2 linked regions of the Danio rerio genome follow. The protein of the gene in region 2 purifies or fractionates together with the protein of the main gene of each other region. This does not show direct contact. Links are inferred from orthologs where the notes say so. Each region holds a gene or a part of one and is shown on either strand. Other genes may lie near its edges.

What was found. Proteins that work in one complex are often made in the same cells at the same time.
Region 1: the proteins of exosc10 (region 2) and exosc3 purify together in Homo sapiens (affinity purification with mass spectrometry; 8 studies listed by BioGRID and IntAct, counting the BioPlex papers as one, with this or other methods). This does not show direct contact. The link is inferred for Danio rerio from reciprocal best matches to the Homo sapiens genes EXOSC10 and EXOSC3.

Annotation. Positions count from the first base shown.
Region 1 is NC_133189.1:58,544,943-58,550,329, forward strand, and holds the start of exosc3 (exosome complex component RRP40), read right to left. Parts: upstream 3,017-5,387; 5' UTR 3,006-3,016; coding exon of another isoform or gene 2,772-3,005; 5' UTR 2,260-2,771; intron 2,065-2,259; 5' UTR 1,379-2,064; coding exon 1,106-1,378; intron 653-1,105; coding exon 501-652; intron 1-500. Other genes in the region: tcerg1a (transcription elongation regulator 1a), read left to right, coding at 3,721-3,767. UniProt on the Homo sapiens protein: Non-catalytic component of the RNA exosome complex which has 3'->5' exoribonuclease activity and participates in a multitude of cellular RNA processing and degradation events.
Region 2 is NC_133198.1:16,311,565-16,316,951, reverse strand, and holds the start of exosc10 (exosome complex component 10), read right to left. Parts: upstream 3,253-5,387; 5' UTR 3,191-3,252; coding exon 3,068-3,190; intron 2,892-3,067; coding exon 2,755-2,891; intron 979-2,754; coding exon 855-978; intron 1-854. UniProt on the Homo sapiens protein: Catalytic component of the RNA exosome complex which has 3'->5' exoribonuclease activity and participates in a multitude of cellular RNA processing and degradation events.

The DNA.
Region 1 (5,387 bases), on a different chromosome or scaffold from region 2:
TAGTGTGTGTTTTCTGATCAGTAGTGTGTGTTAGTGTGTGTTTTCTGATCAGTAGTGTGTGTTTTCTGATCAGTAGTGTGTGTTTTCTGATCAGTAGTGTGTGTTAGTGTGTGTTTTCTGATCAGTAGTGTGTGTTATAGTGTGTTTTCTGATCAGTAGTGTGTGTTAGTGTGTGTTTTCTGATCAGTAGTGTGTGTTAGTGTGTGTTTTCTGATCAGTAGTGTGTGTTAGTGTGTGTTTTCTGATCAGTAGTGTGTGTTTTCTGATCAGTAGTGTGTGTTTTCTGATCAGTAGTGTGTGTTAGTGTGTGTTTTCTGATCAGTAGTGTGTGCTGGCTTGACCTGTCCTAATACACCAGACACTGTGTTTAAACACTCGTCCGCTTCACAAGTGTGTTTCTATAACTCTTATTTTCCCTGCTGCCTGTGCTGTTGAGTGTGTGTGTGTGTGTGTGTGTGTGTGTGTGTGTGTGTGTGTGTGTGTGTAGCTGTAGGTCAGACCTGCGCACGAGTCCCAGCGACACTTTAAAGAGCAGCCCGTCGCCTCCGAACACACCCATCCCGTTGGCTCTCCCGCAGCTGTCGATACACACCAGCTCCGGCTCCATGTCCTTGTTGGCGATGGTGAACTGCCCGAACACCAGATCTCCAACCTGGAGGAGCAAACAGCAGCGTTAGGAGGACTCATACACACCGAACACGACTTTGCTGGGTTGTTTTCCTCCACTCTGGGTTGATGTCGAGTCTTCATTTGTCCTCTTTCTCTGTGTTTCAGTAAATGTGATGATTTCTGCTGAATAATCTGAGTCTGACACACATTATGGGGAAATGCTGTGAGAGTTTTCATAACTCATCAACACACTGTTCACACTGTGTGTGTGTGTGTGTGTGTGTGTGTGTGTGTGTGTGTGTTCACACTGACTCTGCTTGGTTATGTTGTCTGTTGTTGCTCCATTCACTTCCATTATAATCACAGTTATTGACGGTGAAGCCCTGACAGCAGATCATCCTGCATTACTGACTGCTGCTGCTTCCCTGTGGGTCGATCTGTCATTTCACTGTTGATCATGAGTTGTTGCTGCTGGAGTGGCTCTGTCATCATGTACCTGCACGTTGGGTCTGTTCCTCTTGGTGGCTCCTTCAAAGGCCAGGTAGGACAGAGACGCCTGCTCACTTCCTCCAACGTCCACTTTGAAGACGTCTCCAGACTTTGCGGTCACGATGCCGATCACACTCTCACCCTTAGCTGGAACATACTGCAGGAAAGAGCAGAGGTCAGTCCGGAACACCTTCAGCACAGATAGAGGAGCACCACGACACATCCTGACCTGTGCAGTGTTAAAAAGGGCCAGTTCACCCAAACATGAACACTCTGTCATTTATTCACCCTTTACTTGTTCCAGACCCGTTCAGAACACTAATAAGATATTTAGAAAAATGCTGGAAACCTGGAGCCATTGTCTTCCATTTGTTTTTCCTACTATGGAAGTCAATGGTTACCGGTTTTCTGCATTCTTCAAAGTATCTTCTCTTGTGTTTGACAAAAAAAGAAACATGTAAAGGTTTAAAAATACGCTGAGAAAGGGAGTAAATATTCATTCTTGAGTGAACTGACCCTTTAAGATGACTAAAATAAATGATTTATATAGACCAAACGTAGTATACAGCTCTCTATCTCTCTCTCTCTCTCTCTCTCTCTCTCTCTCACTCATATATATATATATTTATTTAGTAGGGTTGGGCGATGTCAACCAATTTGGCAGTAGTGTGTGTTATTGTGTGTTTTCTGCCTAGTAGTGTGTGTGTTAGGTTGGGTTTTCTGCCTAGTGGTGTGTTTTTTTTTTTCCAGTAGTGTGTGTGATTGCGTGTTTTGCCTAGTAGTGTGTTCTAGGTTGTGTTTTCTGCCCAGTAGTGTGTGTTATTGTTTGTTTTCTGCCCAGTAGTGTGTGTTAGAGTGTGTTTTCTGCCCAGTATTGTGTTAACGTGTGTTTTCTGCCCAGTAATGTGTGTGTTCTGCCCAGTATTGTGTGTTATTGTGTGTTTTCTGCCCAGTAATGTGTGTTTTCTGCCCAGTAGTGTGTGTTATTGAGTGTTTTCTGCCCAGTAATGTGTGTTTTCTGCCCAGTAGTGTGTGTTATTGAGTGTTTTCTGCCCAGTAGTGTGTGTTATTGTGTGTTCTGCCCAGTAGTGTGTGTTAGGTTGTGTGTTCTGCCTAGTAGCGTGTGTTATTGTGTGTTTTCTGCCCAGTAGTGTGTGTTACTGTGTGTTCTGCCCAGTAGTGTGTGTTACTGTGTGTTCTGCCCAGTAGTGTGTGTTATTGAGTGTTTTCTGCCCAGTATTGTGTGTTATTGAGTGTTTTCTGCCCAGTAGTGTGTGTTATTGTGTGTTCTGTCCAGTAGTGTGTGTTAGGTTGTGTGTTATGGCTAGTAGTGTGTGTTAGGTTGTGTGTTCTGCCTAGTAGTGTGTGTTATTGTGTGTTTTCTGCCCAGTAGTGTGTGTTATTGTGTGTTCTGTCCAGTAGTGTGTGTTAGGTTGTGTGTTATGGCTAGTAGTGTGTGTTAGGTTGTGTGTTCTGCCTAGTAGTGTGTGTTATTGTGTGTTTTCTGCCCAGTAGTGTGTGGTATTGTGTGTTCTGGCTAGTAGTGTGTGTTAGGTTGTGTGTTATGGCTAGTAGCGTGTGTTATTGTGTGTTTTCTGCCCTGTAGTGTGTGTTAGTGAATTTTCTGAACAATAGTGTGTGCTGGCACATGTTGTGTGTGTGTGTGTTCTGACCCGTCTCTGCTGACAGTTGACCCAGTACATGTTGGGTTGTTTGTGTTTCAGGACTCCTGCTCTACACACACGGATCTCCGCTCCGCTCCGCCGCAGCCCCGGGCCGCAGATCAGCCTGTCCGCTTTCGGGTTCGCGTCTCCGGCTTCAGGAGGACTGAAGGAGAACAGCAGATCGCCTGGAAGAACCACATCTCCTATCCTCTCCAGCAGACTAGTGTGCACTGAGGAGTCCATGATGGAGGAGCGGAAAACACACACAAACACACGTGTCTGAGCACTTCCGGCACGGGGACTCTTATCCTATACAAATTAACTCATTAAAACCTCTCCAACCCTTTATGTCCACAACAGAAATATATTATAAAGATTTTTCTAAAAGCATTCTTAATATCATTCGACACCGGTAACCATCGACATCCATTATAAGAAAATAAATTCTATTGAAGTCAACAGTTAACGTTACTGGTTTCCAACGCTTAAATAACTTGTGTTCAACTGAGACATGGAATTAAACCGGTTTGGGACATGTAACGTTAACGGTTGAGTAAGTGATGGCAGGATTTATTTTAAGGAGATCTACCCCATTTATTAATATTTAGTCTTTGATTGTTTTTAAAAACGAAATATAATTAAATCGTAAAAACAATCAATAAATCAAAAACTGGATAAAGAGAGGGAGAACGTGCTAACATTCCAGCTAACACAAATCTTCCCCTTTAATTTAGGTTATTTTTGGGACTAATTAAACTAAAACTATAACTAAAATAACTTTAACTAAATAGGAACGTTCTGGTAACCAAAACTGTTGGCCAAGTTACTGGACTATACCGAAAAATGCATATTTTTTACCAGTTAAGTTAAATAATTCATACTGGAAATAAAAGTCACGATGTTTCAGAAGTTTGAAAACCGCTGAGCGGGAAATGGGGACTTTTGTGGCATTTCCGTTATGGCGGAGCACACAGAGGCAGAAGGCATCGGCCTGGCTGCAAACAGGTGCAGTTTTCGCTTTATTTTTCCCTCTCAGATAAACACAGACCCCCGGTTATCATTCGCCTTAGTTTATCCCGAAACTCCTCTGGGCTTCGTCTCCAATAAGGCAGATTTGAGTGGGTTTTAGCCTCGTCTGGCCCGTCGGAGGGTGGACAATGAAAGCAGCACAGCAGCAGTCGCCTCACTGTGTTTATATCGCAGTTTCCGCCGAGAATAAGAGCTTGAGGACACACACCGAGTCTCAGAAATAACCCTGTCAGTGTGTAGAGGGTGTGATGTGGCTGTGAGATCAGCTGGACAGTGTGTTTATGATGGAGTCAGTGCTTCAGATTCAGGTGTACTGTAATGAACACCTTCAGCAATGCAGGAGTCAGTGCAGACACTCCTCCATCATCAGTATCTGGGGTTAAAGTGTGTGTTCTGCTCGTCTTCAGCGTGTTTATGGTGTGTGTGTATCTGTTATTAACAGTGTTGGGGAGAGTTTCTCTCGAAAGTAACGGATTACAGTGTCGCGTTACGGTGTTTTAATGCAGGTGATGTGCTGTGAAAAGGCTGGAACTTTGCTTTTGGCTGAAAATGAGTTGTTGACGCTTTTGGGATATGCAGGATTTCCTTCAACACATGGACATGTTCCTTGAGCCACTTGTGTTTTTTTTAATTGTCACATTGCCAGTTTCCTAACAACAATTATTTGATTTAAGTAATTTTTCCTCAGTGCTACAGTAGAGCTGCACATGATGCTATGATATGACTCGCTGCCTGTCATGTTTATGGTGATATGTATCAGGCATGGGCTGGTATTAGTTTCTGACCGTATGATAACCTTGGACATAAATATCACGGTTTCACAGTATCATGTTATTGTGCTCACTGCTCTGAAATATTTACTTTTTAAATCTCTGGTTAAAAAACTAAACTTTTTTTTCCTTTTTTAATATATATATTCTATTTTGGGAAACATTTAAAATATTTTAGAGCAGTAAACATGTCAGGCTAAATCATTTTAATGAATCATTCACTTCTGCAGTCTTTGTTTTTTTATAAACACTAATATTTTTCCAGTTTAAAACAGAATCTTTGATTATATTTTCTGCTGGAGATACTGCTGTCCTTAAAAACAAAACAAAAATTAATAAAAAAAAAAAAGAAATCTTATTTATACCTTAGGAACGGGATAGCGGAAAATTTTCATGGTTTTAAAACCTTGACTTTCCCAAACCATGGTATACCTTGAGTCGTCCCATGCCAAATATATATATATATATATATATATATATATATATATATATATATATATATATATATATATATATATATACATATATATATATATATATATATATATATATATATATATATATATATATATATATATATATATATATATATATATATACGAGCAATTCCGTGCAAATGTCAACCTTGCCATGAAGAAAATTAAGTTTTCCTCAAAATACCGAAACCGTTTTTTTTTTTTTTTTTGGACAAGTATTTTACAGTACAAACTAATCTATTTGATTTAGCAAAGTCATACAAGTGGCAACTTCACATTTGTCACATCCATAATGACACTTTTTTTCTCTTAAATGTGAAAATATTAAATAAATAAAATCAATCATGTTT
Region 2 (5,387 bases):
TCACTTCTAACCAATTTGTTTTACATGTTTTATTTATTATTTTCTGTAAACCTGTGTCTGACCATTACATGCCCAAACTAAATGGTAATGAGAGATATGGGATTATATGCAACATCCTTAATATTTTCTCTTAGGAAAGGAGACGTCTGCACTTAAGTATCATACTTAGAGGGAAAATGTGCTTTATGCACTATAAAGCTTGAAGCATCAGAATCGGTACTCGGTATCGGCCGATCACCATGACAAGGAATCAGTACTGAGTATCAGCTGCAAAAATCCTGATATGAGCATCACTAATTTCAAATGTAAACACAACAGCAGGGTTCCTATAAAAACGATTTATAGATAAATACATGGATAGATAAGAAAATAATTTAAGAATTATTTTAATCTGAATATCATTTTAAGTTTTAACAGGCATTATAAGAACAATCAATAATTTAGTATAATTCAAATATTAAAACAAATTTGCTCTCTCTCCCACATATGATAGCCTAACAAATTCCTGAGGTCTACTTCTGACAAAGTTTTTGAAGTTGTCATTTGAAACCAAATCTCTTACAATGTATATTGTCCCAACATGTTAGCCTTAGTTAAATGACTGGGAGTTGATGAGAGTAACTATAGATGTGAATATGGTACAGAAAAGTTGCATTTTGCTGAATGGAAACTAAAATTTAAAGCAATAACACAATAATCACTGATATTCCAGGAGATTAACAAAAATATATGAGCATTCCCTGACTTTCAGTGTCTGGAATAAACCTTCTCATTCTCAGCATTAACAGACATGCCAACAGGAAGCACTGAACCAGAACTTCAGCGATGTGTGCGTGTCAGTGAGAGACTCGTACCACTTTCTCCAGGATGGCATCATTTGCGTCCACCACCAGGTCAAAGCGGTCCTCCAGTCCAGTCAGTTTGTTCCGGTCTCTCATGTGGGATCTACAGCCATGGTGCTGCATTATCTGGCTCATACTGTCAGGAAAAAAAAAAGAAAAAGAAAAAAAAGAAAATTGCTTTGTCAGTCTCCAGTGAAGTAAACTTTACTGACACTGACATGATAAGCTTTATGCAGTATGCTGTGGCATATATATTTAAGAATACCTAGTAGTAGGGCTGCACAATATTGGAAAAATCTGACATTGCAATATATATAGAATTTTTTTTTTTTTTTTTTTTTTTTGCAATATTTACTATTCATATATACTATCAATGAATATAATTTTACCAGATGAATAGAATAGCTAGATTTGGAAAGATTTCATTCATTTAGATAGATTGAGATGATCAAGTCTGTTTCTGTCCAGTGCGTTTGCATAAATCATAATAAATTACAAGCATATATAAATACAGCAGAGCAAAGAGAAAAGGTGAATAGTGCTTAAAGGTTTTCTTATTCAGGTATAGAAATTTAACAATCAAACATAAAATAACATCGTCATCATTATAAAAATGATTTAAAAATTCTAATAAATATAATAAACAAAAATATATTTAATAATAATATCTTAATCTTTAATAATTTATTCAGATGCTGCTGTATCTATTGTGGATACACACATTGTAATATCAACGCTCAAACTATATATTGTCCACTGTCCAAGAACTCCTAAGTTCATATATAATACTAATAGTAATAATATTAAATATTATAACTAGTAGTAGTTTCCATTCAGTAAAATTCTAGTATATTTTAATAGCAGTTTTACATTTTACCAAAAGCTTTATGTAATTAAATTATTTTCTTATCAAAACTGTAACTATTAATGCATGCATGTTTAGAATTTACTGTCAAAACACGTTTACATGATGTTTGTACAAAAGGCCCTAAGATCACTTGTAAAATAATATTACCATTGCTGTAGTATTTATTTTACTAGTGTGGAAATTAATATTCTAACACCAATAATAGTCATCATCATCACCTTTGTATTATTATTATTATTACTATTATTAGCTTACTGCATTTCTCTGTTCATCTTTTACTAATTCTTATCATTTATACATATCATAACTACTTGAGTAATCTTAATGGCATCTGTAAACATTAAAAATACAATACATTTTACAATATTTATATAAAAAAACGTTAATTATGAAAAAAAATAGTAGGTTTATTTTATTGAATATTTAGTAATTGGCTAGTAGTATGATATACATGGTATTATACAATGCATGCATGTTCATGTTTTTTTTTTAATCGTAATAAATCAAACAAATGTTCACTTACAAAAAGCATTATTTGCTGGCTATCTCTGATTATGGTGTCATAGTGTTAACGACATTCTTTGAAGCATCTATTAGATGTTATAAAGCATCAAGGTAAATTTGATTTTATGCTTGCACATTCATTCATTTTTGAACACTTGTGACACGTTCCCTATATGTTTTAACATGGTACTTTCAATATTCGCTCTGAAATCACATGCAAGTATGACTTCAAAACAACATTAGAAACATTTAATTGACTGTGGACGATGTTGTACTTTAATATTCTTTGGCTACTAATATGATTTCCCCTATTAAGAATTTACAAGAAATACTTTTCTGAAGATATATTATTACGGAGAAAGTGCGATGTGCAAATATAAAAGCAACTTTACCTCAACCTGCAGCAGCATGTTTATCACGAGTGCGTAATGTTCCAATGTTTATTTTGCCCACAATGTGCTTGTAAATGGTGTTTCAGTGTTTGTAAACAATTCAGTGTTTATAATGAGTCTTTCGGTATTTGTTTATTGAGTGTTTTACCAGTGTAAGAGTCGGTCTCCTTGTGAGGCGCAGAACTGCTGGAAGGAGGAGAAACTGCGGTACAGATCAAACTCATCTCCCGCTGATGGAAGAGCAGCAGAGGCTTTGGTGGCGGACACCACCGCTCCAAGACCATGCTGAACACACACAAAAACAAACCTGCTTCAGCAACTACAATCATTACACGACAACATACGTGCATTTAATGATCGAAAAACACTCCGTGTCCACACATGTCTCTCTCAATCTCTCCACGCTGCGGTGTATTCACAGATAATGACAGCGCTGACACACATTCAAACAAACTACAAACCTTGACAAATGTGTCGACGTCTTTAAAGCCCGGACAAAACTCAGTTTCTGCCTCTGTTTCCTCTGCTGATGGAGAATGGTCGCTCTGTTTGGCCACGGCAGCGCTGCTCGAGGAGGCCGCCATGTTGAAAACATTAAATCGCGAAAGTGCAGCCGCACGAGAAAATCTTTTTCTTCTTTGGCAAAGCGTGTGTGGACGACCATGACAGCTGATATCGCCACCTGAAGGACACAATGAATACACTGAATATACTGTCGTTCAAAACACTATAAGCTTGGCGACATCTGCTGGTAAGAATTGCGAAACTGCAACGACACATTAGACCAAACATGTATAATACCACTGTTCACAAAATATTTTCTTTAAAGTGCAGTTTATTAATTACAAACTGATAATTAAATCTAATTAAACGTAGCCTGCCTTTATGTTAATTAATGTCGCCTGAAGCACTCTGTTAAATGCACTAATTTTCTTACACTAGCTTTTTATGTTTCTAAGTGCCATAAAATAGGGGATTTAACACGCAGTTAGCTATTTTTACACCAAGTTCAAAACAAAAACAATGATTTAATAAATAAATCCGCAAATATATAAATAAATGAGTAAATAATCCCTAAATTCCAGCATAAATAATTTTCTTTTTTTGGCCTAGTCTCTTAATTAATCTGGGGTCGCCACAGCAGAATGTTTTACGCAGCGGATGCCCTTCCAGCTGCTACCCATCACTGGGAAACATCCATATACTCACTCATTTACACTCATACATTTCGGACAATTTAGCTGAGGAAACCCACGTGAACACGGGGAGAACATGCAAACTCCACACAGAAACGCCAACTGAACGAGTCGAAGCTCGAACCAGCGACCTTCTTGCTGTGAGGCGATCGTGCTACACTGCACCACCGTGCAGCGCTGTAAAGAAATAAAACTTTAAATAAATAAATATGCAAATAAATAAATGTATAAAATTCACAAATTCATATATCAACAATTAGTGTGGGGCGGGCAGGTAATTAATTAAATAAAATACGAATTTTGGGGGAATAAGAAAACGCTGAACTGAAAGTTTATTTTTCTGCCCTTTCAAATGTTTATTTATTTCTTTAACAGTTGTGTATTTACTTTTCCCAATGGTCACCATTCTAATGAAAAAAAAAATCCAACATTTTTGTTTCTAACGATCAATCAATGAGGGGCGGGTATAGAGGACGACACCAAAAATATAATAATAATACACACACACACACACACACACACACACACACACACACACACACACACACACACACACACACACACACACACACACACACACACACACACACACACACACACACACACACAAATATATTATTAATATATATTTTTATTATTATTTTATATATAAATCCACAAATTCCTGCCTATATACATATTTAAAGAATTAATAGTGTGGGCAGATAAATAATTAAATTCATGTTAGGGGGAATAAGTAAATGGTAAATGCTAAACTGAAAGCTGTTTTATCTGCCCAAACAATTAATCATTTATGTATTTATTATTGCAGGAATATGTGTATATATTTATTTATTTGTTTGAGATTTATTTATTTATTTATTCATTGTCTTATCTATGAAGGAATTTATTTATTTATTTATTTATTTATTTATTTATTTATTTATTTATTTATTTATTTATTTATCTGAGTATTTATTTATTCATTGTTTAATTCATGCAGGAATTTACATATCTACTTATTTATATAAATATTTATTTCGGTATTTATTCATTTATTGTTTTATATACATAGGGATTTATTTATTTATTTATTTATTCATTCATTTGTTTGGATACTTATTTATTCATTTTTTATATATATAGGGATTTATTTATATATTTATTTGTTTGTTTGTTTGTTTTATTTGGGTATTTATTCATTTTTTTTATTTTTGCAGGAATTTATTTATTTGGGAATTTATTTATTCGTTGTTTGATTTCTGCAGGAATTTATTTATTTATTTATTTGCGTATTTATTTATTTGTTGTTTTATTTATGCAGGATTTCATAGATTTATTTACATATTTATCTATTCATATAAACTTTCAATTTATTCTAAATAATATACTTGCTTTGGGGGGGAAATTAAATTCCAGCATCCAGGCCAATAAAGCTTGTTTGTGAAATGTAGCTAATTTCACCAGAAATCTCAACATAAATTTTACACCCCCATTACGTCAAATATGTGTTCTGGAAAAGTAAACCGCATGCATACTGTCCTTTTCTTTCATGAATTTAATCCACCAATTTATTTTGGATGCATTGTTTGAAGTTTCAAAACTT